Linked DNA regions of Lepisosteus oculatus. The protein of the gene in region 1 interacts with the protein of each later gene in a pairwise test. Links are inferred from orthologs where the notes say so. Each region holds a gene or a part of one and is shown on either strand. Other genes may lie near its edges.

Region 1 (15,560 bases):
ATCTTGCTGCAGGCTTTTCTGCAGCAAGCGGATTTCAAATGTATTCACACACTAGACAAAGTAAAACTTTTCACAAAACTTTAATATACATTGCTGGGACTCGGTGTTAACTGTGGCAAAATCACATACTCCTCAAACTTTCTGCGCTCAAATGTTTACATCTTCTCCTAAATTCTTTAAAACTTGTTAATGCCTAATATTTTTTATTTCCCCCACTCAATCTATTTTTTTTATCGCAGTGCTATAGGAAACGCTCTGCTGTTATGCAACCATTACTTCATAACACCTAAATTAAGAACTTATGGAGTTTACTCCTCGAGTGCTGTAACCTCTTCCCCACGTGTGCCTACCTGGCTTCCACAGCACTTAATGGGAAAGTGGGGGGGGGGGACACTTGACTCACAACGCCAAGCGAACCGGCTGCATTCTTACCTCGGTTTCCAGCTGAACAAGCTCCATCTTGGGCCATGGGTCTGCAAGTTGTGCGAGTGGCATCCTGAAACCGTATCTTCCCAAACACCCGTAGAAATCGTTACACTAATGAAGCCAGGCTGAGCTAGAACTCCCGAGGTTTTTTTTTTTGCAGTCCACGTCTTGCTAGCAGGAAAGCTCGCTCACAGGATCCTACCGTGGGAATCTGTTGGCAAAACCTCCTAGCAGCTCCTCTATAACCCAGTCGTTTACAAACAATAATGATCCCCCTTTAAAAATGACGTCGGCGTCTCCACTTGTCCACTTGTCCTCCTGCGAGCTTCAGACGGATACAGTCTCCCGTGTTAGCCCGAGCAAGCAAGGGGATGATTCTTCGGTGTGACTCGGCGGGCTCTTTCTAGGCAGGTACGTACAGGTTTGCAAGAAAGAAACAATGTAGCCGAAGCTCTCCAAGGTCGATGGCACTTCGCACCTGAGCAGCCCTGGGTCTTTACGCCCCAGGAATCGCTTTCTGGATAATAAATTCGCAAATCGTTTCCCAGAGGTTTGCAATGCGTTGTTTCCAAACAGGCGTTTTACGACAGCTGCATGGAGCTTAACCCAGGTTGTCAGACGCTTTCCGCTGCGAACCGAGAGCGCAGCGCCGTGTATCTCTGACTCCGCAACTGGCAGCCTCCAGCCAGCTTTCACCCTACCCCTTTCACGGCTCGTCCGGGCCGTTTGTCGCCCTCTAGCGGAGACGTGGTGCAAGCGAGGACAGCTATTCCTTACGACTGAATTGATGGGGGGAGATAACAGGGGAATACTAGAGGGTATTTGCAATGTCGCCAGTCCGGAGATGGTAGTCTTTCTTATTTTATTTTTAAATTAAACAAATAAAAACGTTCAAATAACTTTGTTTTTTTTAAGATAGTGGCCAGTCTTCGGAATCCCTCCCAAAGAATATTTCAAATATCTCCGTATAAAATCTATGTATTATTCTAATTTCCAAAAATGTTAGTTACAAATATTTACTTAATGTTGCCTTCATCGCGTGTTAAAAATCAATAGCATGCAACTTAACTGTTACCATCAATTTGTGAAGTGTGGATTTTTTAATTTAGTGAAATATTAATCAATATATTGCATTCATTCAGAAATGTAGCTGTTTTGGGGAAGATTTCAGTATCCCCGGCTTGGACATCAGAAGCCAGCAGTGGAAGAGAGCACCGTCTTTTAAAGAAATGAATGAACAGCTCAGAGAAACGGGGGACAACTCAGTCCCACACCGGTTCGGATCTCTTTTTAATGATAACACACTGCTTTTCTTCCTGCCTCGATATTAAAAAAAAAATAGGCGAACTATCGCTCACTAGCTTCTCTCACGAACAAACGAATCCTTTGGGGCCCTCTGTTGGCAATCAATCCTCAAAGATTAGACCATTTGAAATTCATACATTCATAAAGGGGGCTCTTCAATAACATTCCTGCTTTCGCTTCCAATGTGATTCAATTGGTGAAGCACGTCTCCCCCTTTTCTTCTGAGCGTGAGCTGCCGATCACGATTTGTCGCCCAGGAAAGTGCTTCCCGTCGACACTTTTGGGTTCCCTCATTATACAGTACATTGTCCTTAGGAGTGAATAAGAATAAAACCAAATTACCCTCCTCTACTACTGTTACTACTAATGATAAACTACAGCAGCTACTACTACTAAGAGTCTATTATTATTATTTAATAGTAATAATTGTGTATTGCTTAAATATCATTAATTAAATAAAAAATATAATACCAAAATTAATCCTTAATAATAAATTAATATAACAAATATATTAACAATTATTATTAGTAGTAGTTGTATAAAACTGCTACAACAGAAAATAATTTAGAGTGCTTACTCGAGGGTAAGAGTCACATCACTGGTGTCAGTAACGTGCTGTAATAACAGGACCCTAGCCAGCAGTATGATGTAGAGCAAGAGAGATCTTGCTAACACCCAGACATTTCCAATGGTGATCCTCACCAGTGGAAATTGCTCACTGAAGCAATGTGCTCTGGTTCTGCAGAAATTCCGGAGCTCCTGCATCTGTGACATCACATCTTCGCTAATGTAATAGTGTCGATTCTCGATGCTAGAAGAATGCCAGGGAATAATCTTCAACAACACCCTTCAGGCTGAGAAAAGACAAAGCTCTATAATAAAAGAGACAATGTAGGCACACTAGGCAGACATTAATAAATAGCAGGGCCTTCTGCTATTCTATTAATCATACTTAAAGAAAGAAAGTGGTTTTTATTATACACTGCTAACAAAAATCTCTCAAGAGAAGAGAAATATTGAAAATTGAAATATAGCACCCATTCACAAGAAGAGTAAGGAACCCAAGCCAATGGAGAATATAATCAGATTACAGTAGAGGACTGACTGTATGGTAGTAGGATTATAAGGGATAGTTGACATGGATTGCAAGAGGTTTGTCTTGCTAACTAAAGCACTTTAGAGTTGTTTGGAGAAGTACTGTAACACCAGCAATGGATGAAAGATGAACACGTTTTATTCTATATTTAGATTTTCAAAAGCCCTTTTATGAGGTTCCCAATAAAAGGATTAATGCTCAGATCAAACACATTGCTTGTGTTTGGATGGAGAAATGACTACTAAAACAGAGTCCAAAGTTTTCATAAATCAGCAAAGTTCCTATGTTAACTTGATTGGCATATAGTCAGTAAACTAGTCAAGTTCACAGCTGAAATAAGAAAATGGGAAGATGAGCAAAGATTGTAGAAGTAGCAGAGGAAATGAAAAAATAACTTGTATAAAATCAAACCTGGTGGAACACCTTCTGGTATTTAATATAGACAACTCGGGAGAACTATATGCAATTATATGCAGTTAAAAAATACAAAGAGAAATTTAAAGGGATATTATGTTACATGTGTACAATACATTAGTAATAACACATTTAGATTTGTGATCAGTACATCCCTGGTCCCCTGGTCTTATACACAGGAATGTTATACACTTAAAATTAAAAGTTAAAATAATATTTTAACATAATATAATTTAAGCAACAACATAAGAAAGAATGCAAGCAATATCAAATATCCAACTTCCGAGTTTGATAGTTTAGTAAATTTAAACTAAGATTTCATCCAGCTTGTTCTTTAAAATGCCAAGAGCTTTGGTCTTAGCCACCTGCCTGGGAAGCGTGTTGTAGATTCCCACAATTCACAATTCACAATTTTTACATTTTGAACAGAGATGACTGCGAAGGGACCTGATTCAAGAATTCCAAAACCCCAGTGGACTAGACCACCAGTAACACACAAATCAGAGCACAAGCAAGTGCAATTCACATGAGGACAGGATGCACCTTTCTGACACAGGTTGTGGGAGTCAGGAACAAGGTATTCTGCAATGGGTTTGAAGCCAATAACCAGGCTTCTTTGATGAAAACTGGACGAGACCCTCAGAATAACTTAACTGTTAGCAACAAATAGGACAGATTGGCACAACGGTATCCTCCCATCTGTGACGTTATTTTATTAAGTATATTTCTCGAGTCTTGAGAGCTGAGTGCAAACCGGTCTGAGCAGAAATTGCACAGAAGAAAAAAGAATGACAAAAATGAAATAATGAATCGCAGTGAGACCTAACTGATCTTCTGTCCCTTCATTTTCTAACTGATTCTTCCAATTCAGGATCTCAGTGGAGCCGGAGCTTATCCTGGCAAGCAATAGGCACACGGTGGGACACACCTTGGACAGGATGCCAGTCCATCGCAGGCAACACACAGATACAGATACACACACTCACGCCAGGGCCAATTTTCCCAGAAGTCAGTTACCCTACCAGTATGTCTTTGGACTGTGGGAGGAAACCGGAGCACCCAGAGGAAAGCCACACAAACACAGGGAGAACATATAAACTCCACACAGACAGCACCCCAGGAATTGAACCCAGGGCCCTGGCACTATAAGGCAACAATGCTTAACACTGTGCCGCCAATGCTACACCAAACTAATATTTTTGTGTTTCAAAAATACATTGAAATCCAGTACAGAATTTCAGTGATGTTGAGAGATTATTCCATCATTACCGAAAGCCTCGAGGAATCTCAGGATCTTCATTCGCATGAGGGTTATGACTCAGCCAGATCAGGATTCCCAGGGCTATGCCACGAGCTAGCATAAATGTGTACTGCGGGCTCCTCACTTCAGACTAGAAATGATGTGAGTTATATCGAATGCTATTTGTTATGGAAACACTATTGAATGCCACTGGGCTAATAAGACTCTCTGTCAGGTTTCTGCAGTTACTTTTTCAAATAGTATTATCTGGAATAAATTCAAATTTTTTTGTGTGTTGACTGGAAGAAGTGAGGCTGCCTCTTTGCATGTCAAAACTGAAAATATACACCCACAGGCATGGTAGGGGTCCAACTGCACCGAGACCCTTTCAGGATAAATGTAGGAAACAGGGCAATACAGAAAACTGGTTAGTTAGGGATAAAATACTGTGGAAGATTTCAAGTCATTTGTGTGATAACTGGGAGAAAATTATTGTTGAAAAAAATAATAATATTAGCAAAGCTACTGTATATGTTCAGCTAGTCCCTAATAAGCAGGATTTACAAGTAGCCATTAATCAGCTCTTTCTAAAAGCCTTAAACAATTTGTGATTAATGAGAGGTTACCTTACGTAATTATTTGAAGCCTAAAATATATGACCATTCAACCAATGAGGCCCAGAGTTCTATGAACAAATTGCTTGCTCCATTGATCATTATGGGTGTTCCTGCTCTTTAGAAGCAGGTACCCTTTGAGACAAACTGCACTGGGGCTCGTCTGCATCAGAGCGATCAAATGTCTTCAGACAATTGCACAAAAAAGAGAAACACGACGCAGGTTCTCGTTCTTGCTTTTGCTTTAGATGAGCTGTAATCTGGCAATCCAAATGAAAGAGCAGCTGTAGCCGGATGGGCAAAAGATCTGCACTTCACAGTTTTGCACTGGCAGGAACGAAACATTCTCAGAGCCTCTGATGGCTGGGAGTCCGAAACCGTTTGGAAAGGCTTTGTGCTGAGGCCGAGCTTGTCTCGACGGGAGGAGGAATGTGTGGAATTTCAGAGCGATTCCCAACTTGCCAGGCAACACCTGGCAGGGTCAGACAGCTGAGACCACAGTGGAGGTAAATGTTGGTACCGGGGGAGGCAGACAAAGCTCTCTTGATAGATATGTCATTTTACCAGAAAAAAAAGAAGCAATGAGAGAAAACGAGTAACACATAACAGCCCTTGTATTAATATTTATAGCTATGGTAGTTACAATAATGGTAGTTATTCAAGGACATATACAACAAATATGTAAACAAGTTTACAAGAAAAATGAATGGCATGATAATAAGGCTGATGGAGCAGCGTGTGGAACAGTGGTTAGCGCTGCTGCCTCACACTGGCGGGGCTCTGTGTTCAGTTCCAGGACCTGGGGTGCTATCTATGTGGCGTTTTACACTCTCTTGTTCACGTCGATTTGCTCTGGGTGCTCTGGTTCCCTCCCAGCAGTCCAAAGACATACGGGTAGGTTAATGAGCTTGAGGTGTGACTGTGATCTTGTCTGTGTGTGTCCTGCAATAGACTAGCGTCCCATCCAGTCCTGATTGTAACGGAACGTTCTTTCAGGACCCTATGCAGACAACACAATCCGGGAGGAGTGAGGAAAACACAGGGGGGAAAAAGCATGCAGGGTTCAGGAATTCAACTAGGGGGCGTGTCCATGGTGAGCAGGTGTTCTGGGGGGTGAGTCCGGGGCAAACAATCCAAAGCAGAGCCCATAGGGAAATCCAAGGCGAGGCAAATGTCCAAAGCCGGGCAGTCCATCCGAGACGAAGACAAACAGAATTAAAAACCGGAACGGGATCCGGTGGATGTGGGGGGGGGACAAGGGGGGAACGGGACCAGGTGCTCCAGATCCCGGACTCGCTTGGTACGGGAACCAATGCAGAGCCCGGAACAGAGTGAGCATCTGGCTTTTAAGGTGGGCTGGATAGGAGGCTGGAACTGGGGGCAGGTGCACAAAATCAAGACAGAAGTAAAAGAGCCGGAGCACCCTTAAGGAGGAGGGACTACAATCGTGACACTGATGCTATCCGAGAAGGGTTCCGACTTCTCGACACCCCTGAATTGGATACTTATTAATAATAAGTCTGACAGAAACGTGAAGAGCAGTGCAGGAGCTGTGCTGGATGAAAAAAAAAAACAGCGTAATGGTATGTCATCTCAGTTCACAGTGATTCAGACCATGAAGCAAATCACATTGCCAGTTTAAAAGTTAAGCACATTGGTGCAATGCAGTGTTAAGAGTGACCAAACAACTAAATTGAGAGCTGAGAGATCACAGGTGCTGTCTGAGCAGGTGGGTCTTGAGCAGTAGCAGAAAGGACAGAGCACTTCTGATTACTGAGGAACAAGGGTGGAGAATGAAGGGCTGTGGCAGTGGGAGAATGCAGAGGGGCCAACGGAAGTCTGGCGGAAGAGGGGGAGTGGAGAGGGGGTATAGGGAGAGATAGGACCCTGAAGATAGGCAGGAGGAGACTGGGTGTGACAGTGAACAGGGGGTACTGAATTGGATGCATGCAACCATAGGAAGACAGTGGAGTAACTACTGTAACACAGCAGTGTGTGAAAAATTAGGAAAAAACAAGGAGATCTGCAGGATTCTGGATGTGTTAGAGTGGGCAGATGGGCTCAAGAGTGAAGAGAGAGTTACGTTAGTCCAGGCAGGAGAATACCAGGGCCTGGACTAGGAGCAGAGTAGAAGAGCTGGTAAGGAAGGGGAGGCTTTTGTGAATTCAAGAAGAACTGGCACGAGAGTTCCATAGAGGAGACTGTGAGACAGGCAGAGATAAATCAGGAGACATGAGTATCAGAGGAAAAAGAGAAGGAAATCTGAGCAGCATCAGTGTATGAAAATCCATGGAGAGACAGCTGCAGAGACATCAAGAAGCGCTGAGATAGAGGGCAGGGAGACAGCTTGAGTGGAGTGAAGAGAATTGATAACAGAGAGGAAAATAAACCTAGCTGAACCTGCGGAATGAAAGCCAGACTGAAGTCTGTGAGTGAGGGCTGCACGAGGGCAGTGCAGAGCTGGCAGTCCACGGCCCGCCAGACGATTTTAGAGAGAAAGGGGAGGGGGAAGACGGGATGAAAGTTTGGATGGGATGAGGGATCAAGGGTATTTTTTTAGGAGGCGTGCAATGCCGGGCTTTTTAGAAACAGAGGGAAAACAGCCTTGAGAAGAGGAAACAGTATAGGGAAGGAGATTCTGGAGGGTTAGGAGTCAGAGAGGAGTGTGAAGGAGGAAAAGCAGAGTCTGGTGGGTGAGGGAGGGGGGTAAACATATTTCTGTTGTGAGAGATATTGTAATGAATATATAGATAGATAATACTTTATTAATCCCGTAGGGAAATTGATGATATATGCATTTATCAATCACAGAGTCATGAATTAATTCGGTAATTAAAACACAGATTCAGTGGAAAACATCTGAGCAAGCATTTGAGGCGGTTTTGTAAAGAAAGACAGCACGAAAAAAATGAAATGTCTAGAGTATCTCTCTCTTCAGCTTGGAAAGGGTTCGTGTTAATTCTAACGGCTGACCCCTTGTTAATGATACTGGAGTACACAATGATAAGCTTATGGTTAATAAACTACTCAGATGGCAGTGAGACCTATAATTTTCAATATTATTATTTATTTGCATAGCACATGGTCTTTTCCAAAGAGATTTGAGTGTTTTAAGCCTCATGACATTGTTCTGAAAACAGACCGACAGGAAAACAAAGCCAACACTAGGTGGAGCTCCATCTCAGCAGGGTTTCCTTCATGATAACCTTGTAAGAATCCCATTCCTTAGCTGCCCTGTAGACTAGGGCAATCCACGAGCACAGGTTGTGATACTCCCCTCTGGACCGGCGTTGTCAAATCCATGTCCCGGGTATGCTGGCTGTTGACACTGAGCTGCGTGTGTCAACTTTGTGGTCCTGCCTGAATTCCACTCTGAGTTTACACAATCTGGCAGACCTGAAAGGTGTCCTTCTAATTTAGTAGGTCAAGAAGACTTCCCCACCTATTGTATCGGAACATAATGGGTGCTGTGCACCCGGGTGAGAGTTGCTCCTTATTGGTCGACAATATTTCCCTGCTGTATATAAAGCGACCCGTCATCTCTGGGGATTGAGAATAAATAGAATGAATCATTATCCGGACCAAGGGTGAATTACAGCATGCGCGATGATTTATATTGTCCCATAGGCAGATTAGCTTCACGATCACCCTTCACCACACACAGGCGATAATATAAACGTCGTGTAGCCCACTTTCTCGGTGGGATTAGACAGGAATTGAACCCTGAACCTTGGTGATACCAGAGCTATGCTCAACCCAGTTCCCTCAAAGAGCTGCGGCAGCCTCAGACCAAAGTAACAATAAAGGTGTGCCTCTTCTTTGGCGCTTTCGTGGGGAAAATGTGGATACCAATTGCTTTAAGAGCGTTAAATAAGTATCATTAAAACAGTATACTGTAAGGTTTTTGAGAAGCTTTTGGGGTTGGTAATTACGAGCCCTGTGCTCTTTCCGAAAATCAAATAAATCATTGGTTTACCCGTACATTTTGTTGAATGACAGTATGCCAGGCGCTTGACAATACTACACGGCGAAGCTAACGCTATAATAATAATAATAATAATAATAATAATAATAATAATAATAATAATAATAATAATAATAATAATAATAATAATAGGCTATTGAAGAAAACTTTTATTAACTGGTTTGATTTCTTGAAGAGACGAAAGCCTTGTTAGTAGGTTGAGTTTTTTCCCACAGTCGCGAAACTACAGTATTAGCCCAGTGAATCAGAATAGAATTTTCCACGCAAATCAAAACAGCTCGCTCAAGACAGAGGTTTGATCATGTAAATAAAACCCAACCCTTGTTCCCAAACTTACGCGCGTTCTCTAGCCGGGGGCTAGAAAACAGCCTAGAGAGAGAGAAGAAAGGTGGAAAAGTAACTTTTCAATTCCCTCCCTCAACGCATAACTCAAGGGTTTGGAGAATTGCTCCAGCCTGTAAGGAGACGTGACAGGGCGTAACATACCGCACAATTGGTCAGCCTGTGTGGATTACCTGCTGGTGGGAGTGCCGTGGGAAAGGCATTTTCCCTGAGGACTTTCGGGAGGGTCTGGTAAGGAATACAGTGGGGAGTTTTAAGTGTCCCGGACACAAGATATGGAGCCTATTGCGTCCTGGAGTCACGACAGAGTTAAGGACTGGCTAAAAGGTAAGTTAGAGCTGGATGTGGGGATCTGATTTATTTTTCTACAAAATCGTGACATGTAACTTGTCAGGAAAACCGATCTAAAACAGCAAAAACATACAGTATGGGACAGTTCTCGTTGGGACTGGAACGAGGAAGTGCTTTTAGTTATGCGCAGGCGTCGGTGCAGTAAACTCAGGATAGACGCACTAGGCAGGGAGCGCACAGACACTTGGCGAGTACTAATTTTTCAATTTCGTGCGAGCAACCGCCCCTCTTAAATTTAAAAAGCACCCCAGCTGCTTTACACTTATACGGACGTTTTATTGATTGTTTGTCAAATATATTTGGGAAACGCTAGTACGAGCAACACGAATGTCAACATGAACTTTTTTGCCCAGCAGGATAGCATGTGGTATGTGTTCAAAGTTCATAATTGGGTTTTTGAATACAGAATTTAGTTTAATTCCTTGTGTCAACCCGCACATTTTAACCCAAACTGAGGTTAAGTTAACAGGTCGTATTTTCCTCATATGCACTAGATTATTTTTCTTCAATGAGGACTAGCTTTTTATTCAGCGTTATTGAAATTTAGGAGACTTTTTATAAATCCCACGTTTTTATTGTGGTTACTGCTAAGGAATTCATTTTTCGGAACTATTTTTGAATTTGCACCCCAAATTTCATCGACACAGTCCGTAATTTATTCCGAAAAGGGTAAAGGTACCCAGTGCCTTCTGATTCATAGGATGAAATCTACAATTTAAAATGAAACCAATGAAACTGGTGATCTGCCTTGGACGTGCTAATGTTTAAAGGACGTTAAAGGTTTCATGAAAGTTTTCCACATTATAGGTCTTAACTTCTCTAAGGGTTATCTGCCAAGAACAAGTTTTTTTTTAGTTCAGGATATACTGGTCTGTTTTTAAAAAGCCTGTTGTGTGATCAGTGCGTCAATCAATCAGCTGATAAAAAGTCACTTTGAATTGCACCCCAGTTCCTATGTCACCTGAAGGGCTGGGGCCAATAACTTCAGTAATAACTTCAGTAAAGGTGACTTTGTTTCAGGACTAGAACTGCAGCTTGTGTCTGGAACGTCCTGGTAACCTTTAACCACATACCCACCTGAAGGCACCTGAATTCTGCTTTGCTGTAAACATGACTTTGAAAAGCATCTGTCTTTAGCCCGTTCTTGACTTACGTTAGACACAAAGTCGAAACTTCGCCAATCCAGCTAGCTCAAGTAAAGTCCTTGTTGCTTAGTAACCAAACGTAAATCCTAAAGCCGTAAAGAAATGTAAGTTCCTGTTCCTGTTTCATTTTCTGTACATAACTCTCTTTAAAACTGCATTGAAAATTAAGTTATAATCAATCTCAAACCTTTGAGAAGTGATTCCATAATTGTTTAAGAAAGCACATACAGTAGATCATTTTTAATTTACAAAACACATATAGGGCCATGTTTCATTAAAAAAAACAACTGGTAAAGTGTTTTTGTTTTATTTCAGAATTCCTTGCCAACAATTTCAGTTTTCTGTTTTATCTTTTAATACCACGACTTTTTTGTCACTAAAATGTAATGTGAAGGTAGTGTAACAGCACTTTAGGGATACAGCTCTTACTGTGATATTGTGTCTGGTTTGTTATTTAAGTAGTAAATGATCTTCAACATCTTTGCACACGTGGAGGTACAGTACGTGATTACGGACACTTAGCTTCTGTATCTCTGTCTTGGTATAATATTCATCGTGGGCCTTGTCAATTGCATTTACTTTTTTATATAATGTGACCTCATTTGTGTGTGTGTGTGGGGGGGGGTCTCATTCCCCTGTGAAAAATCTGTCTTGAGTCTAGTTTTAATGCAAACTCTGATCTGCAGACCATTTGCAATTTACAGACATGGTTTGTGGTGAAGTTTGGCTTCTTTCAAGAGCCAGCTGGATGAGATCCTCCCATCAATTAGCTACTAGTTACCTGTTACCTGTTGGAAAGTTTAATGGGACTTTATTAGCTGTATCATGCTAAAAACGCAGGTTTTTCATGTGTCCACCAAAGTGTGGTAATTTTACTATGGTGGGAAACTGATATATCTCCTGGTATGTGCCAGTGCCACATTAGTGAAAGACCTTTTTTTTACCAGGGTAACAGTTGATTCATCAAATGCCTTGCAATGTGAGTGTCCCCACTTTTTTGTAAACACACCCATCAAACTTGGATTTTGCTTTATCATACCCCCATGTAATCTTTATATTTCTGTTCTAAAGACTGAACCCTGTTAATCTTGACCTGACTGACCACTGTAGGATATGTCTTCATTCGGGCTCTTTGTTTTCAGCTCTTTGACCTCTTTGTAGTTGAATATTCTGTATCTTATCAGAACTATTTTAATATTAGTTTACCATCTAATATTTCGATTTTTGCAATCTTAAGAAATATAACTTGGTCTTGCGTAACCTAGTATTTGTTGTGTATTATAATTTAACACAGTGTACGTTATAATACACTTTCCCCTGTTATAACAATATAAATTCATAATAGGCCCAGTTAAATATTTCTTCTCTTGCCTGCCCTGGCTCAGAGTCATACTGTTTGTGTACAAACAATAGAAAGGTGGCTGAAAGGAAGCTGTGCTCCGGTGTAGGCCCAAAAATGTTCTTTATCTGTTTTTCGACGTTCTTGAGCTTTAGGCAAAGATAAAAAAGGATGAGGAAGTAAACTGCTGAAATGCATGGTGCTAGTCAGCCCAAGGCACAGCTTTCTGATACTGAAATGAGTCTGCTCTGAGGGGCTTGTTGAGTAAATGGATTCCAGTTATCACACATCCTATTTTTTCTGCATTGTTTAAAACCCTTTGATTGCAATGCTCCTGTTGAAACAATAAAAAAATAGAATAACAAAAACCGGGAGTGGTGGTGCCTTTGTTTAGGGTTGAATTCCTCTCACACAAGGGACGAGTTTCCATGCGCAGAATGTGGGCGGTGTTGTTTGTGCTGTTAAGTGTACTGTGGTACAGCATTTTCCTAAGTTGGCAGTGAGTTCCCACTAGTTCCCACTATTCTCTGTATTACTTTTTGTTTTCAGATGCTTAATTGTAGATTCTGCTCCAGTAATAGAAAATGCTTTTTACTCGGGAACGTTATTAATAATCAGCCATTTTGCATTTTATCTCAAGTGGCTTACAGAGACCAAGGGGTGAAATTTACATTTGCAGTAGCGCGCCTGAGGTCATGCCCAGTGCTTCAGAGGTGCGCACTTTACAGAAACGAAAAGTAATGCTCAGATTAGGTCTCAGTGAGTCAGCAGGCTTTTATTTTACCTGAATCCCATAACTGGTAATTCTGAAAAGGGCATCGACTGACTGTAGCCTTTGGTTCCACTGGCTGTGCTGAATTGCCCAGGGCTTAAACAGACCCTGCTTATCACACAGTGCATACCTTGCCTACTGCACCACCTGGCCTCATGCATAGAATCAAATACCTACTGAAGGTGGGCTGATTCTCAAGATGGGATTGTTCCAAATTCAGCTCAGTGCTGCAGTGGAATCTCTTAGTGTGCCTAACGAGGATGGGCATGTAGGAATAGCTGCAGTCTTTGCAGAATTATGTTGCCAATGCTTGGCTGCTGTGCTTTCAGGTTTGGAGCCCAGCCTGCAGCAGTACCCCTTTGAAGAGTGGCACCTGACAGGGCAGGACTTACTGCAGCTGTCCTACAAGGATCTGGAAGGGCTGGGGGTGAAAAAGATTGGCCACCAGGAGCTCCTTCTGGAGGCCGTGGAAAAGCTCTGCTCACTGGTAAACGAAACCCTTTGCCACTTTTATCGATCAGAAAATTATTTTGCCATTCTGTTACAGCATGCACCATCTCTGACTTCGCACGGTGTCTCTGTACACCATGGCCGAGTGAATTCACAGCTCAAGAGTAGTAACATTAACCAGCGGGGACCCAGTTTCAGGAATTGTAGGTAGTCTGTTTGCTATACATTTTCTAAAAATGGGGTTGTGGGGTTTGGTTAGAAAAGGTCATTACTGGATCTTCCTATGATCTACGAGAAATTGGATTTCTTCTTCATTTTACTAATTTAGTTTTCTAGATGTGGTCTAGCAATCACACAGAATGTGCACAGGCAGATTTACCGGAATCAAAATCGGAATCTTAAGAAGTCACAGGTAGTAATTATTTTATCTATTTTTCAGCAATGTAATTTCATGCAATGGTTGCGTGAAAATAATTCCTAGCAGGTTCCTCTTTTAGTCATTTTCTTTGCAGAAACCGATATTAGCAAGTCATCAACCTTTCAGTTTACCTGAATTCCATAATGGCTAATTCTGAAAAGAGCATTGACCGATTGTAACCTTTGGCTCTTCTGGCTGTGTTGAATTTCAAGGCCATAAAGGAGCTACAGAGCATTAAATAGGACAGAGGACTAGTTAGCCATGCAAGTATTTTAACTCTGTGCAGCATTCTGTTTACCCAGCTGTTGCAGGCTTCAGGGTGAAAGATTTACACTCTGCTTCCTTTTTGCCACAACCTGCCACTTCACACATTTAAATCCTTCACACTTTTATTTCTTTTAAAACTGTTTTCACCTTTCCTGTGATAAAAGTAAACAGGTCTTGGCACCTAGTACAATAGCTGACATCAGGTTGTCAGTTGCTCTCATCGCCTAGTCTGTGATTGGAGGAGAAATCTATTTTTCTCAGGTTTCTGAAGAGCTCTTTAGATTTTTACAGAAGTTCACTGTCAAGGACATTACATACCAATGTTAGTCAGGAATATGCTGAGTAGTGGCCCACAAAATATGCTTGGAGCTAAGATAATATCTAGTCCTTTTAAGTTGTTAGTTTATTCTTCTTATTTATGATAATAGCAGCTTTTTATTGCAAGTTTCCAGAATAAAATACAATAAAATATAAAATATATAAATATGTATCTTTCCATTGATTTTCTAACCACTTCATCCAGTTCAGGGTTGCTGAAGAGTTGGAGCCTATCCTGGCAGGCAGTTGGTGCATAGCAAGATACACCCTGGCCAGTCCATCACAGGACACACACAGACACAAACACACACACTCACATCAGAGTCGTTTTTTCCTGTTTAAGTCAGTTAACCAACCAGGAAGTTCTTTGGTCTGTGGAAGGAAACTGGCACACCTGGAGGAAACATGTGAACATGGGGAGAACATACAAGCTCCACATAGATATATGTGTATATATTTTAAATTACGTATATTAATTTCTTCAGTTTCAATAATAAATGAGAAAACATCAAGAGCAAGAAGGCTTTACTTTTTTTTTGCATTTCAAAATAGTGGAAAAGAATTTGCTGAGAAGTGTCAAGGGAAATTGCTTGCAAATTGTTTCCAGGTAGTACAAGCAGAACAAAAATAAATGAAAGGTTCTTTGAGTAATGAAAGAATTAGTCTTCATCTGTGAGTGTCACATGAGGACTGCACTAATGCCCTAATGACGTGGGAACTAGCAAGCTTATCTGATAACGTGTTTCTCCCAGATTCAGAATAAATATGAAAATTCTCCTGTTAAGGCTCTGCTGATTTGGTAAAAATTCGTTTTTAGTTCTGTACTTGTCTGTTCTTCTTATCCTGCTTTACCCTGTGCAGGGTGGCAGGGGGAGCCAGAGCCTATACTTATAAGCAGCAGGTGCAAAGTAGGATACACCCTGTTGTAAACCATTGTGAACCTGGGGAGAACATGCAAACTCCACACAGACAGCACCCCAGGTCCAGAATTGAACCCAGGGCTCCAAAACAGTTAGGCAGCAGTTCAATCCACTGCACCTCCATGCTGCTTGAGAATTTAACCTTTTATTTAATTCTT
Region 2 (15,979 bases), on another chromosome or scaffold:
CATCCCTGCAGTGGTATCTTCTCATGCACTCAACTGCCTATTTGAGAAATCGGAGATGCAAATATCGAGCTTCAGAATACTTGCAGAGAACAATGATTACCTCCATCTGCTTAGAAAAAAGACCCACACCTTGACTGCAATACTTTGCTTACTTTAACAAAGCAATTTTACAATTAAGAGGAGAAAATGCCTTACCAGTCCATTCTCTCTGCTGCCTCTGGAGCAACCGGCAGCAGACCTGTCTACACACCCTCACGTACAGCCCTGAAGCTCTTCGATTCCACTGTCAGCAGGTGGCTTAAACAAACACACCCCAACAAACCCTGCAGCCCTAACCTGACATTTTATTTTGCTTTGGCTATAAGGGCTGTGCACCTGAGAGGGTTAATGTTTATCATTAACCCACAGGTCTGAAATCGCATGACTGTGACTTTGAGGACTGCACTCCATGCTCAACATGCAAAGGGAGCGTTAACAGATAAGGCTTTTGTTTTCTCAAAGCATACCATACCGCTGGAGAAACAGGACTCTTCAGTTCATCCAAGCCGATCAGAGCACAAGAGGAAAAATCCACACAACCCGCAGTCGAACCCTGAAGATCAAATACTTGCGGGAAGGCATCCCTTTGATATATATAGCAACATAGCAACAACAACAACAATGTAGTTTATTATCCCAGGGGAAGGACTTAATGATCAATGATCAATTTTAATAAATATGCGCACAGAGTGGGGGGGAACAGGGCGTTCAGAAATCTGCAACAGCGAGGACTGTGACCCAAAGTAAAAATGTCTGCAGCCTCTCCAAATGCACAGGGCTGAGGGGTCCTCCAGTTATGTGTGAAGCCACAAGGGATCGGGGCGCAGATGGTGTCAGCGGCCCCTTTCCACAGGAGCAGCAGGACAGGCTGCCAGGCCAGTTCTTAAGTCACCTTACTAACACGTCGCTCTTCTGAGGTTTGGCTCCCAGTCAGATAACACAGCTACTTTCCTAATTCCGCCCGGCCGTCCTATCAGGCTCAGATTCCAGTTAATCAGCTGAAAATAATGCCTAACTTGGGTAAAAAAAAAAAACAGAGTGCAAACTTTCTTGCAGACTGGAGAAACTAAAGTAAAAACAAACATGAATCAGTTGAAAGGGTTTAAAAAGAGTCTCGAGAGCTTGAAAAAGGGGTAACTGTTGATTTCAGGGTCACTTTTATGGCGCATATGTCACAAAGTAAACAACACACTCCTATTATCCACATGGCCAGAGGAACACCAAAGTGGCTTCAAATATTAAAGGCAGCTCAACAAAATTACTTAAAGGAATCACAGTAGCTCCAAGCATGTTAATTTCGGAATAATCTATTTTTCCCGGGTCGAAGGTAATGGAGACTTTACGATTTAAAAAAAATGATTTGGAAACTTCAGTGGTACTGAATGTCCCGGTAATGCGGATACACCTATTTCCTGCAGCTTCAGCAGGTTTAACAATCTGTGATCCCGTTACATAAGTGTTCCAGCCCTGCCTTTTCCTCTCCTCCGCTTTCCTCTCCAAAAACCTGCAAAGAATAAATCTCGGAGCAGGAATCCTTGAACCGTGGGCAGGAAAAACAGGGGGTGGTGGCTTGGTGGGCTCAGAACCAGTAACACCGCAGGCCTAGACAGCCCCAGGGGAGAGCAGGAATTCTTCCTCTCCATTTGGGAGAAAGAAACTTCAACCTCAGATTTGTCTAATGTCTCCAAACTCCCCCCAACAGGCTAGTATTGTTCACGGAAATCTGCTTTCGTTTAGGTCTGTTCCTCCAGCGCCGTTCTTTCGCTGCATGTTTAAGGCCAGTTAAATGGGTTTGTCCGGGCCTGGTTTTCTCCACGCTCGCCGCTCGGAGCTCCCACACGCGTACGCAAACGAGCTTGCCCGTCCTGGGCCGTTGCGCCCGGGCCTGGGATCTGCCAGTCGAGCAAACACCCGCCGGGCTCGGCTCCTCGGTCCCCCCAGGGGACAGCGCCGCCCCCACAAACGAGTTCCACGTGCGGGACGCCGGCCCTGGGGACGGCCCTGCCTGTACTCAGCCCCCCCGGCTGCCGGGAAGAAGATCAGCTCCCCAGTCCAGCTGGACACGGCAGTATCACTCGGCCAGCTATACGGTTTCATTACACTTCAGGTGTCTGTGGAGACACGGGAGAGATACCCCAGCACAGGGGTACCAGCTCCAACAACATGGCTGGGCTGCTTGTCCCACACTCCCACCACCCTTTGGGTAAAACACAGCCTCCTGTTTTCGGTTGTAAATGCACTTCCCTGTAGTTTCTGCATGCGTCCCCTGGCTCGTGTTTCCCCGTTGATTCTAAAGAAGTGCACTGGGTTGATTTTGTCAGATGTGTAATACTTTTATCAGGTTCCCAGGTAACCTCATTGGTCCAGTTCCTCCAGCCAGTCCTCGTAGGACGTTCTTTCAAGCCCCAGAATGCACCTGATTGCCCTCCTCTGGACCCATTCCAGAGCAGCAGTATCTCACATGCTGACCGAAACTGTACACAAACCACCGTCAACAACACAGGTCGGACAAACTCTGCAGCTCCCCGCTATTTGTCTGTGTGTAAAGTCCAGGTGGCTGAATCACGACGGAGGAGACTTGCATCCAAGCGTCCCACTTAGGTGCAGCTGCTGTCTTGAGCGATTCACGTCTAAGCCAGCCCGGACTGTGACATGAAGAAACACAAAAATGCAAACCAGCAGGCCGAGGAAGTGATCAAAGGAATGCTAATGAGGAACCACACTTCCAGATCCTTTCGCAATAAAAAAACAGGAAACAAATTAAAACTCACTTTGCACAGAGCTTTGATCCACTTCAGGATTTACAACCTGCAGGCTCTTGTATAAACAGTTCTGCCGAGGCAGAGAATTAATGTATTTAGAAGTATTGGGATTTCTGACTTCTGCCAATGCAAAACTAAAAACAGAAACAGGAAGAGAATGGAGTACAGCCGTACAATGGGAGTAAGTTTCATAGAACAGTACAGACAGTCATGATGTCATTCTGTGATCATGGTGCTGACTGTTTTTACCAACATACTGTAGCTGGAAAAATGCTGAACAAGACAAAAAGAAAATGGATGGGGCACTTTCTAGAATCTTACTTTCACCACTGCATCTGGGAAATGCAAGAGATAATTACTACTTGAATGTTATTTTCTTTATTCTTTCAGAAAATTAAACATTTCACAATGTAGGGGAAAATTATAATAAGTGCAGAACTGATCGTTTTAAGAAAGCCATTTAGTACTGGGAGCAAAGCAGGATAAAAAAGCCCACTGAGACAATTTACAGACATCAGTTAGGCAGTTGAATAATAATAAGAGAAAATGTCCATTTTCTCTGGAAGGAGAACTTTCAGTCATGAAATAAAAACTGAGCTTAACAGCACTCATAATCTGATTCCTGAGCCAAAAATAAGAGAATTGATCGAAAACGGTTCTTGTAAAGTATCACACCCACCTACAGTCTACATATAATAATTCTCTATACTATTTTGGTGAAGCTGAACGTCCACGTGGCCCTTATCTGCTAAATTTCCCTGAAAGATAAAGAAGAATTCCCCAGGGAAAACTCCCACAGCTCCCAAGGCGTCAAGGTCTCGCTAAACACATGTTCAGCCGTCGACAAAAAATTCCATGTAAATCAATCCCGACAGGACCGCGCGATACGGCCACGATCCGACATGCAGAAGCGCCGTCGGGGACTGCAAACACACAAGCACATCGCTGCAGAACACTTTGTTTTTTTTAACCCAGCCCAGAAGAGTTCTGAATTTCTCCTGTCGTCAGGTTCACGAGTGGAAGCTGTTGTTCTGAAACTGCCCGCAGCCGTAGGGAGTACGCAGAAGCGACACGGCGGCCGACGCGCGGCTCTCTGCGGCCCCTGGGACCCGAGCTGTCACAGCTGAACCCGCGGCAGGCGTGCACAGCCCCCCCCCACCGGGCTGACTGGCAGAGGGACACACCGCCCTGCAGTCCGCCACTTCAGCAGACCTGCGCTTTGTCATGAGCCAGCCACCCCAATGACCCAGTACAACTACTGCCCACTCTCCCTGATGGAGCGCAGGGCTCTCAGCGGCTGTGTGGGAAGAGTGAGTAACTGGCTGGCATTAAAACTGGGCTCCATACCATCCAAATGTCACCGACTCTTCCATCCTTTTGAATCCGTTGTCCTGTTGCTTCACTTTTTAGCCATCACCTCCCAGGGCCTTAGCTGGAGACCCAGGCACGTGCAGGAAAAAGGCAGAGGCCTTCCAGAGAAAACAGGGCTTTTCAGAGGGCTAGACCAGGCTCTGATTGGACTCTTTCCCTTCATGCCTCTTGTTTTTATTTATTTATTTTTACACGTTTACTAGGCTAAAACGTCCCGTTCTGCGCTCTCTCACGTTGTCTTAAAAAAAAAACAGTATTTTCACAAGGTTATGGCCTAAATCGTCCCAGGCACTCACAAATTCAGTGGAACGAGACAAGAGAGCCTCACAAGCCCTGTGATCTCGCTGTGTGGGTTAGAGCGCGCCCTGTAATTTACGGCACGCTACCAAATGGCTCGGCTCTGCCAGCAATTTATCACCTCGCTTGAAAAGAGCTCCCGCAAGAAACATGAATTGGGAGCTTGAGACCCGGAACACTGATTTGCGCTTGTTCCTGATGGAAGACGACGGCGTGAGAGAGCTCCTGTCAGATTCCTCGTTTTAAAAACCGGCTCTTAGCATAGTTTTGGTTCATAAAAAAAAAACTGTGCTGGTTACTTAGTCACGGAGTTTCGCTTCCTTCGCGGCCTATCGACGTCTCATCGGTCCACTTCGCCAGCGCCAGCAGGGGCTCGATTCCCATGCCAGGGGTGCCCCTCTCAGCAAGCAGAAAACAAGCCTAGCCCGGCACAGAACCTGTCAGCGGCCCCGCGGGAGCGGAGAGCTCGCTTCTTCCCTGCCCCTCGATCCCCACTGTCCTGCTGCACCCCGGATCCATCTTCCTGGCAGTAGGTCAGGAGGAGGAGGAGGAGGAGTGAACCAGCAGACAGCTCAGGTCTGCGAGCAGGGCGGACTCACGAGAGTCTCTGACCTCCAAGCTGGGGCTCTGCCTGGATCAGGCGGCACTGAGGGCTTCAGCCCTCCTGTGCTCCTTACAGACTGGCACCACAGCGTCGCCCTCGCGCTCGAGGGGGAGGTGCCTCAGGGACCTGGGCTGGTGCTGCCACGGTCCTACGCGTGGTTTCTCGCGGCAGTGCCCATCACAAGACCGAGGGCTCTCCCGCCCCTGGGGAGCCTCTTCCCAGAGCACAAAGAGCGCTCTGTGCCTTCACCCACCAGCAGGGGAGAACCAACCGCTCCTGCTGCAGGAGAGGGGACCAGTCCCAGCGGAGATCTTCAAGGAGGCGCTTCCATGAATCGCCCTGAGCGTCAAGCGGGCCGTGCAGAGGCAGCCTGGGCTCCTGGAAAACCTCTCCCTTCCAGGGCAGTCGAAGACTCCTCCTCCTGTGCCCCAGCCTCCCTTCGGGAAGTCAGCGTGACGAGCAGAGGCCCTGTCTCAGCACTGGGCTTCACTGCCAACCACTCGCTGAGAGCCCACTGGCCTCTGTCCTGGGCCCTGCTGACCTCCTGATTACAGTCGGCAGCTTCTTCAATCCTTTCAGGACAAGATGCCCAAAATGGCCCCTCAGCTCTGCACTCCTTTGATCACTTTTTCATCAAAGGTGTTGATGAAACACGTTCCCTTAAGCGCTCTTCCTAAGGCTCATATCTGTAAGCTAGGAGTTGCTGGTGCGGTCCCGGTGAGCTCGGACAGGCCGGACCTCCACACGGGCCCCTTCCTGAGCTCCAGCCCAAAGGTCAGGACTGTTGAGGAAGTGGATTGACCCGAGGCGGAGGAATGAAATGGGTTTTTTTGTCACGCTTTTTCTCCCCTTGTCGTTTTGAACGAATCCATGAAAAAGTGTCGCAAGTTAACTCTTACTAAAGCTCGGGCTCTTGATATGAAATTCTTACTGCGATAAACTCAGGACTTGGGGGGGGAACAAAATGTTAAAATGACAAAACCCGAGTTGCGAGAGTAACACGGCACGTGCCCGTGAATAACTGCTGTACACGTGAGCTAGCGGGGGGAACGGTATTATCACCCCATCGCCGGCAACAGCGGCCGGATTATCAGCCACAGAAACGAACTGCCGATCAGCGGGATCCTGCCCGTGAAATCGTGCTGGCGAGGCGCAGACCGGAGCGAGTCCTGCAGCTGCCTGCGCGTTCGCTTTGAACTGAGCTGAGAGACACGAGCGCTGCCTGACGGTGCCTCAGAAAGAAAGGGCTTGAGGGGGATTTGGGATCTGGGCTATAGCTACGGAATTGTGCACACCGCTCGCTCCACCTCCCCCCCCGCAAAGAGGCGAGGAGCACTGATGTCATATTCCTCCGCGCCATGCAACAGATACATTGCAACTACAGCACATCCATTCCTGTGCCACGCCAGCCCGTTCAATTATACTGTAGATCGCAGCCTTCAATTCAAACGCGTGCTACAGCTGCATTCCCGTCGACGCTCACGGAGCCTGGCGCAACAGGACTGACGCGTTCGCATCGATTTCATGCGCAGCGGGAGGTTTGCGTTGACGGTTCAGAGAGAATCCGTGTAGGATTCAGAGGAATGCGTCGTTCACGTCCTAAAAACGGGTCGGATATGCATCACACAGGTGAGGCTGCACATAGGTGGGGGGGAGTCCCCATTACCTGTAACACGCTTTGAGTGCTGTGTAGAACAGCACTATACAGGTATAAGGAATTTATTATTATTATTATGATTATGCATAAACGTATAAGAATAATTGCGGAGGTCTGGGCTAAGTGCAGACCCTTTACGGAGACAGCTGAATCTGTGTCCAGGGTGTTAGGGAACAGAACACCTTTTCATCACTGAAAGAACGGAGCTGGAGGGCTTTCTTCTTTCACTCCGGCTTCTCTCAGGATCCAAACCTCAAAACCGGAGCGGCGACACCACACTGGAGCGGCCCCACTGTGAATCCAAGAGCTGCCCCCGACCGCCCCCCACCGGGGGGGGTCTGCAGATGCAGATACCCGCCACTGGCTGGAAATCCAGATGTGCGGGGAGAAGGAGGGGCGCGAGACATGTTCCTCCCAGGAATGTAATTGAATTCAGATGTCAAACGTCATTTACGGGAAAAAAGCAGTTCTGTTCTCTTATCTGACGGTTACTTTCTGTGCAAGCTGTAGAGCATTTTAAAAGGACAACAGAGTATCCAATGATATCGGATATACGTACTTATATACTGTAGATAACAGAGGAGAGAGCCTATTAATAGTCTGTAAAACAAACGTTGTCCCGGTGCGCCCACTTCTATAACAAAATACGGTTGGAAAATAATCGTGAGTTAGCGATCAAGCGGTATTTGCGAGGAAAAACTTAATTTCAACAACCTACGACAGTCCTCCTTCAGAATGACAGCTACTGTTAGTTCAGAAAACAAACGAAGGGTTAAAATCATACACAGAGCTGCACTGTACTATAACACTTGAGAAATATCATAACACACCACACGCCAACAAGCTGCCGCACAGTGACAGACAACAAAACACCGCACATCGCTTACCCGAAATGTCTTCTTCCATGTCTATCGGGAAGGAGTACAAAGTCCACACAGAGGAGACAAAAACCTTCTTAAACCTCCCAGGACAGAAAATAATTCAGAGGAAAACAGCCGGATTCAATTGCGAAAAAAAGCAAGTACAGAATCAATCCTCTTAACGCCGGGCGGATGAGGGATTCTGCACACACACAGACACACAAAAATAATTTGTATGTATTGAAACTGGAGCGTATTCAACTAACACCAAACGTCCGGAAGCTGCGGGATCGCCTTAATCGGAGGTATAGATCCTAGATCGTTCAAGTAGTGTTTTAAATAATTGTGCAGCGGCGAGACGCAGGCGGAGCGCCGTGCAGGTCCACTATGTGTGAGCCGCCTCCACCGGCGCCGCTCCGCTTAGCGGCTACGTCACCGCCCGGCCCCGCCCCCGCCGCGGCCTGGCCCCCGGCACGTGACGCGCGGGGCCGCTCGTCTGCGAGACACCGGGGGCTGGTGTGTGTGGTGGTGATCCTACTGCGTTAAAAACTGACAGAATATTTGCATCACGGCATCGCACTTGATTATTGGACTCTAGGGGTTTGGTGAGACTGGAGGATGCAGTGTCACACAGGGAGAGAGATATTGACAGACGCCCGCCTTGTAATGACACGAGTATGGGGGTGTACGTTGTTATTCGGAGGTGTGCATCAGAAATTAAAATTCAAATACAGCCCGTTCCATTTACAGCAATAGGTATGAGTATTGACTGTATTAAACGTGACCAGTGCACGGGCGAAGGGTATTTTCAGTGCTGTGCCTCTCAAGTGAAATGTATACAAGTGGTTTGAATACGTTTTTTACATCAATTCCTAAGTCGTAATCAAACCGGTTAGTAGTGCCGAAAGGCACATCTGATTAACCTGTCTGATGATCGTAACATGTACGTCAAATGAAAAGCAAATATATTTATATCACAAACTGAAAGTAGAGGCATGGAGTTATTGCATATCATTATGACTATGATAAAAATTATCTGCTTTTTTTTTACCGGCGCACATTGTGAAGATTTGCATTTCTGCAAATTCTCTGGCGTTTCCCAAGATCTGTCGCTTTATATCAAGAAAGGCTGCAGTTTGTTTGCACAATTTATTCACACTCATGATTGTATTTATGTGGCCTTATGTGTTTAAATATCTTGAGTAATTTATGAGTCTAAAGGGCCAATATCCCCATCGAATACTTCACAGTTGGGTGGTTTTCTCTCACCTTTCCACATTTCTGCAATAGCAGAAATCTGTCTGTGGCCCCAGCTATCTCATCTTAATGACAATCCGACCAAGCAGTCAGGACCTAAAGTTTCAGATCTTTTCCAAACCGTGTCCCCAAGTCACCACCCTGGGGACATCAGCGCGGAAACCGTGCTCCAGAGGAACAGCGCCACCTGCTGGCTGCCCAGCACCACTGACACCACTGACAGCGGTGAGTGGTTCCCTGTCCTGAGCAGGCCCGGCCCGGCCCAGCCCAGCCGCACGGCTCCAGTGACACAGCTGCTCACCCTCCGGGGATCCGCAGCGGAAATACCCGTGATGGCACTGTCACGACGGGCCAGCCCAGTGGAGTGTACGAGCGAGGCCGCAGACGCCCCCTGGGCACGACGTGAATGCGGCACGCGACTGAGGAGCTCGACGTGTGTGGCTCTGCAGCCCACGGTGACGTTCAGCTGATTCAGACGCTGCCCCCCCCCGGCCGTTGGGTCTTCTTTCACCCTGCTAATGTCTTCAACCACGGGACGTTTCACGCCGGCGAGTCGGTTATTGACTTCCTCGGAGCGAAAGCCAACAGGGCCCTTTCAGCGACGGGGACCGCTGGGAGGATGAAGGGCCGCCATTCAGGGGCTGTGCTGTCCTCTGTCCTGGCTGGAATATAAAGCAGCAGATTCAAACGCCTGTATTGTCGGGGCCTGAAGTCTTTCGCTCCTGGCCAAGGCCGGTGAATTAGTCACTGCAGCTCGGCGGTGGCCTCTGGTTAACAGGAGCAGAATTAGCCCGTTCACAGGCCGACAGCTGGCATGAATGGAGAGAGAGAAAGAGCTGTGGCTCCAAAGAAAGGATCATTCATGCCCCTCGGGCTGTTTTGTAAATGGTCAAACCCGTCCCCTCGCCCGCTCCGGGGTCTAATTTACATTCTCTCTGAGAATGTGCCCTTTTCATCACGAGAGAGAGAGAGAAACAGGCAAGGTTTCATGTGCAGTAGTCTCATGTGGTCATTATTGTTATTAAATCACCAGAGTCTGCATTTGTTAGAAAAATCAGATTCATTCTGCGGCCTGCAATAAAATCAAGAGGCAGCGAAGGAGCACTGCAAATTCGTAGTCAGCCTCCAGGACAGCAGAAATTAAATGAACTCTGGCTGCCTTGCGAGATGGATGAACATCCAGTGAAACCTGAAATCGGTTCCTTCCTCTGCCCTTAGAGGGGAGACTGCTGTGCTAAACCGATTAGCACCCAAACACACTCCGCAGTCATTTTCACTAGAGTCGGTTGTCTGTGCTGTTCGTGCTTTCTCCCGGTTGGCATCGGAGACAGACCATCAGTGACAGCGTTAGAGCATTATTTCATTTTCCTCCTGGTTTTCCACTGTGATCTGTTAGCCTGTGCCACATGTTACAACAGGCAAACAGAGGAGGACAGAGCCGCTTTAGTTGAGAGACGATCTTTCGAGGGACCGGATGGCTCAGCTGACAGGCCTGAGCAGAGCTCAGGTCACCAGCCAACTGTGACCGGGGGTCACCATCGCAAATGGTGAGCAACACACCTCTCCTCCAATCAGAGCTGAGCATCCTGGGAGGGCGGGGGGGTGATGACGTGCCGAAAGACGATTGGCTCGAAGGGGGAAAGGGAGTGGTCTGCTTACACTTCCTCAATCTTCACGTGTGCGGGAGTGTGCGTGGGGTACGGAAATCAGAGCAGAGAACAGCAGCCAATGATCTGTTCCCAACAGGTAGACCAGCGTGAAAGTACGGCATTGCACTCCCACCTGGGAGACACACAGCGGCCATTCTGCCAAAGTAATGATAAAGTATCGTTAATTGTTGGGGTTTTTTAAAAAAAGATTTTGCTCCTTTGTACTTGTACATGTTACATCCAGGATGGCAGACGGCGACCAGAAAGGCGAAGAGGGGAGGGGTGTTTCTGTTCATACGAACTAGCCGGGACATTAAGTATTTTTAAAAGAGTGCCTTCGATCCAAGGAAAGCAGCATCAGTGCGTTCCACTTTCCGTCTCCCCATCTGTGTTCAGATCTGAGAGAAGAAACAGGCCAGAATCGCCAGGAACTCCCCAGGCACGGAGCAGCGGGGAATGTGTTCCGAGGCGGCTCAGCGGTGTCCTTCCAGGAATGGGACAGGGACAGCAGGGGGCTGGCCGGAGCAGTGAGCTCATACCTTCCAGCGAGGAGCGATCAGACAGCCGCTACCGGAGAGCGAGGGGAAGCTCCAGAGGGCCCTTCCCCTTTCCTGGGGAGAAGTGCTCTGCGTCATGCCCCGGGAGCCGGGCGCCCTTCTGAGAAAACCACAAGGTGCTCATTTAGAAACTGAGAGGAGACGGCATGCTCAGGAGAAACAAAACAAGTCTGTGCTCCCGGCTGGCTGGAGTCCCTGTGTCCAGGTGGGGCTGAATGGTGCACAGTCCAGATCCCCGCCCTGCGGTTTCAGAAAGAATAGGGGCTTTATGTACGACACCAGGGGGCACTTCTTTACCCAAAGGGTGGTGGGAGTGTGGAACATGGCTGAAGCTGAATGCCCTCCCCTCATGCTCCCAGACTGATGAACTGCAGTAGCTGGAGGGGGGGGGTTGTGCTCCTGAGTTTGCAGAGTAAAGAGCGGCAGAAGTCGGTTGGTCAGAATGCGCCTCTGCACTCGCTGAGGACGCCCTGTAGCACAGGGGTCTGCTGGCTGGGGGCGGCGGGGGTCCGCAGGGTCTCTGTGACGGAGCCTGAGTCAGGCTGCCCCCCCCCCCCCCCCCCCGGGGACGAGGCCTCTGACACAGAGCACGTACAGCAGCGGTCACCACAGTCACTGTCACTGTAATCCACCTTTCCAGGCTGTACATAAATAAACTCCCTCGGTCATATCCTTCCTGCTGGAGCGCCTCTGGCTCGCTGGCATGCCGTTTCAACCTCCCTCCTGCTCCGGGATACGGGGCAGCACAGTGACACACTGAACCCCCTGGTTTCTAGCTTTCTCTTTCATCTGCTCCTCAAGTTCAGGAGCTCGAGGGACGTTTGCCGTGAGCCAGACTCCAGCCCAGCGTCTCACACCCTTTTACCATTTCCAGGCCTAAAAATAGTCCTTCACTTACAGTTTACTGCTGCCAAGGAAACAGTGGTGCCAGTATTCGTGAAAAAAAGGTTTTAGCCTATTGATTCTTTGGCTGAGTAAAAAAGAAGTCCACATTTGTTAAGAAAGCATCAGGGCAGATAGTCAGCACTGTTTGGTTATGATGGGGGACATTCAGAGTTAATCCACTTCATCGTGGTACCTTAATAAAACCATTGCCTTGAATGTCATAGTGATCCTGCTAATTATGAATGACATAATTAAGGAACTGGTAGCGTCTTACAGAGTGGAGCAGACTGTTGTGTCACTTGAACTCCTATGGAGTGCTGTGGATGTAGTGAAGATCTCCCAGCCATGCTCTCTGGTGGCTGCGGCCGTGGTCTATAAACTGGATACAGCCCTGTTCTTGCTGCCCCGAACTACAGTCCATTCAGATACGTTTGGCTCAGCATCACATCCACTGCATGGCTCAGACTGTGAAAGCAACCTTTTGACACCCACTGGGATTACACCCAGTAATAGTTTTTCAACATGGTGTCAAAATTAGACCAAACACTTACAAGGGCCTGGCCACAGCGCACACTCTCAGGATCACAGCGCGCTTCTGGAAAAGAACGCCTTTATTCTGTCACACATTGACCATATGTTTCCCCACATGCAAACCAGCAGAGACCTCTGCCAGCTCCTCCTGTGTTGGTATTTCAGAATCAGTTGAGACCACAGGCTCCTTTTTAGTTGCATGACCTCAGCTCATCATGCTAGTCCATATAAAACCAACAGCCAGTTGACACACAGACTGCCATTACTGAGACCACCTTCCGGTTATCTCCTGTTCCTGCGATTTAGGGATGTCTGCTGTCTGCCTCCCCAGTTCAGACTCTTTGTGATCTGTGCCGCCGATGATGATATCAGCTGCTCATGCAGATTAAGACAGGCTGCCAGAGTGGTCTCAGCTCCAGAGCAATCTGTACCCAAATCTCTGAAAGAGCTGGATTGAGACCATGCAGACACGATGAAAAGAAATAACACAAGGATCCCTTTCTCCTCTTCAGAGTTCAGGATTATTGTTGTGATTTATTTTGCAGTGCCCAAAACAGAAAAAGCATAATGTTGCTCTTGGGAAAAACTCTTTAATAACTGTCCCATTTAACACACACTCGTAGAGTGAAGCACTGACCCCCCCAGCCATCTGTTGTGAGCATTTGTACTTAAACACTCAAAAACCCAAGAAATTTTTCAAATGACTAAACCACTTGATGAGTAGATTAGCATTTTAATGAAACACAAAGCGAGCAGTTTTCAGTGCGGTTGTCAGCACTCTAGTCTGAACTCTGAGGTCGTTCATGTATTCTGCTGCATTTGTTTTTAAATATTAAAATAAAATAATATTACAGCAACAAAACGGCAATGTAATACTAACACAATTCTAAGTTGTCATGGAAACAGTACCGCAAAGTCAAAAGTTAATTTCACAATGCTTGTTAACGAAACCGAGGAAACTTGTCTTCTCTCTCTGCAAGTGGGGAGTGTGTTTTCTCTCTGTGTAGATGAAGTTTCGTTTTGAAGTTTGAAGAGGTCCGTGATGTTCGGAGTCGACAGTCGATAGATTTTGGAATGGGTAATCTCTGACCTGATTAAAATTCAGTCCCACGGGTCATCTGCAATGGAGGAGTTTGCCTTTCTGGCTTCAGACAGCTAGCTTGGTGTGTGGTACATCTCTCATGGTACCTGCACATCTGTCGTGAGAAATGCAAGGTCACAGCGTCACGAAGCTTTACGTTGTGTGATGTATCATTGACTGTACTTATTTTTCATTTTCTTCCATTATATTGCTCTTCTCTGGGTCTTGACCCCTAGCACGTGACTGGTTTCGGTACATTGTTTTGCCACTGTCTTATGAGAAACTAGTGTCTTTACCAAATACTTTTGTTTACTTAATGAATAATTAAGGTGAATAAAGCAATTAGCAAGACGCACTACTGTACATTCTTTCTCATGCATCTCCTTGATTTTTATTTTTACTCACTTCATTAAATCAACTAAGCAAAAGGTGTCTGTACTTGCATGGTCCTGCATGGTCCTGATCTCCTTTTGTCCCAGCTGAAGCATAATGACCTACAGTAATTCGACAAACTATTTGGGAAATTGACAGTAACATCCTCATTGATGTGATCTATAAAAAGTACAGGACCGTGACTCTGCAGAGCCAGTGCTGCAGATGTAGTGTCCTCTGCCAGGTTCATACTGGAAGAATTATTTGCATTTCGTCTAAAGATAATTTTTTTCCTCTCACTGATATCTTCTGACAGGGACCAGTCAGCCAGGGACAGCTCGTTTTTTTTTCCACGATGTTATCAGTTTACAGAGCAGGAGGTAAATGGCATTGTGCTGGCCTGTCATGAGAGAGACAGAGATGAGAGGCACAGAGAGACAGGACGGTGGCTGAGGAAAAGGCACAGGAGGCTAAGGGCAAAGAGAGACAGAAGAGAAGAGACAGAGGAAAGAAAAAGGCAGGCACAGGGAGCAAAAGAGGATGAAAAAGAGAACGAAAATAGGAGCAGAAGGGAGAGATTGATAACTGCACAAACATTCCATCTCCTGGGAAGTGATTATAGCTTAGTCACATGAAATAAAGGAAAGGCTGTGTAACCGAAAAGGAATCAGGTCACGTCAGTATTTTCCTACAATAGCCATGCTTATCTTTTCTGTTATTGTATACTATTATACTTTTCGCAAGACCTGTAGATTTGTGGATGAAACACACGTTTGTGGTCATTGTTGGTCATTCTTTTTTTTACTTGTGTTTGCAAGAATTGTTTTTTTTCAAACCTCCGAAGTTTTTAAACTACAATAATGCGGATATTTTCTGATTATGTCCATGTGAAATCATAAAAAGCCTAAGAAAGATAAAAATAGAGCAGTAATGCGTTCAAGGAAAAGAGAATTGCGCCCCAAGATGTAGAGATCTTGGCAATTGTGCACACAGCCAAGAGTAAAAGAAAATGTTTGTCAACCCTAATATAATTATGGGAATTAAAATTTCTTAACATCCTACCCTTGTTAAATCGAAACCAGTCTTTTCTGAAATAACCACAAGGGTTTATATTACCAATTCAATGTTTTTCTGAAACACAATGGTGTATGAACTAGAAGAAAGGAAGAACTCTTTCTCATAGCCTATGTGAAATAATAAGTCAACGCTTAATTAGCACAATTAAGGCAGTAATTTGAATCAAACAGTTAACTAATCGGGTTACAAGAAAGCAAGGGCTACATTTACAAGGGCTGATCACTATATGGTTCAGTTCCTGTGCAATATAAAAGAGTCATTTTGTGAGCTTGCTCTTCAACACACAGGTTAGCATGTTGTGCCACAACGACAGAACAACTTCTGGGCCTCCACCCATCCAAAGCTGACAAATGGATCACGGTGACTCCACCCCAGGACCAGTTGTCCTGCCAGGAGCAACCCAGAAATTCATCCAGGAAGTCACACATAACCCCAGGGTGACATCTGAGCCCCAGCAGGCCTCCTCTGTTGCTCTGGTGTACAGCAGTGCTCCTGCTTCACCAATTAAAAACGGCACCAGGGCTGGAAGAAGTGTTGCTTCCTTGTCGCAGATCAGGAGGTTACTGTATGTCTGGATCCTTGAAGGGGTGTAAGAACTGCTTTTCTGCACTGTCGTGACTTTTCAACTCTCTAAGACAAAGCACAGTGTCTCCACATAAAAGCACAGACTGTTCCTCAAACGAATGGAAAGACATACCTCATGGTACTACACTGTAAGGTAACACAAGACAAGCCCAATAATACAATTCTGACCGACAGATTCACTGCCTTTTACGAATTCTTGAGTCCTAAGAAGGAGAGTTGTCTGTGTCAGAGAGTGAGTTCGCCCCTCATGAGCCCCGCCCCTTCCCCAGGGAGCCCTGGATAACTTCCACTCAGGGGTGGATTAACAAAAAGGCTAGCATAGGCTGTAGCCTAGGGGCCCCTGATTGATCAGGGCCACAGTATTTTTTAAACGGACCTGTGGGCCCCCATTGGTC

The links.
Region 2: the proteins of cnksr1 (region 1) and cyth3a interact in binary tests that used the Homo sapiens proteins (3 or more experiments, as listed by UniProt). The two-hybrid records come from large-scale screens. The link is inferred for Lepisosteus oculatus from reciprocal best matches to the Homo sapiens genes CNKSR1 and CYTH3.

Annotation. Positions count from the first base shown.
Region 1 is NC_090706.1:11,004,449-11,020,008, forward strand, and holds the start of cnksr1 (connector enhancer of kinase suppressor of ras 1), read left to right. Parts: upstream 1-9,452; 5' UTR 9,453-9,697; coding exon 9,698-9,749; intron 9,750-13,358; coding exon 13,359-13,516; intron 13,517-15,560. Other genes in the region: rps6ka1 (ribosomal protein S6 kinase alpha-1), read right to left, coding at 433-495. UniProt on the Homo sapiens protein: May function as an adapter protein or regulator of Ras signaling pathways.
Region 2 is NC_090714.1:16,755,357-16,771,335, reverse strand, and holds the start of cyth3a (cytohesin-3), read right to left. Parts: upstream 8,003-15,979; 5' UTR 7,637-8,002; coding exon 7,618-7,636; intron 6,703-7,617; exon of another isoform or gene 6,476-6,702; intron 1-6,475. UniProt on the Homo sapiens protein: Promotes guanine-nucleotide exchange on ARF1 and ARF6. Promotes the activation of ARF factors through replacement of GDP with GTP. Plays a role in the epithelial polarization.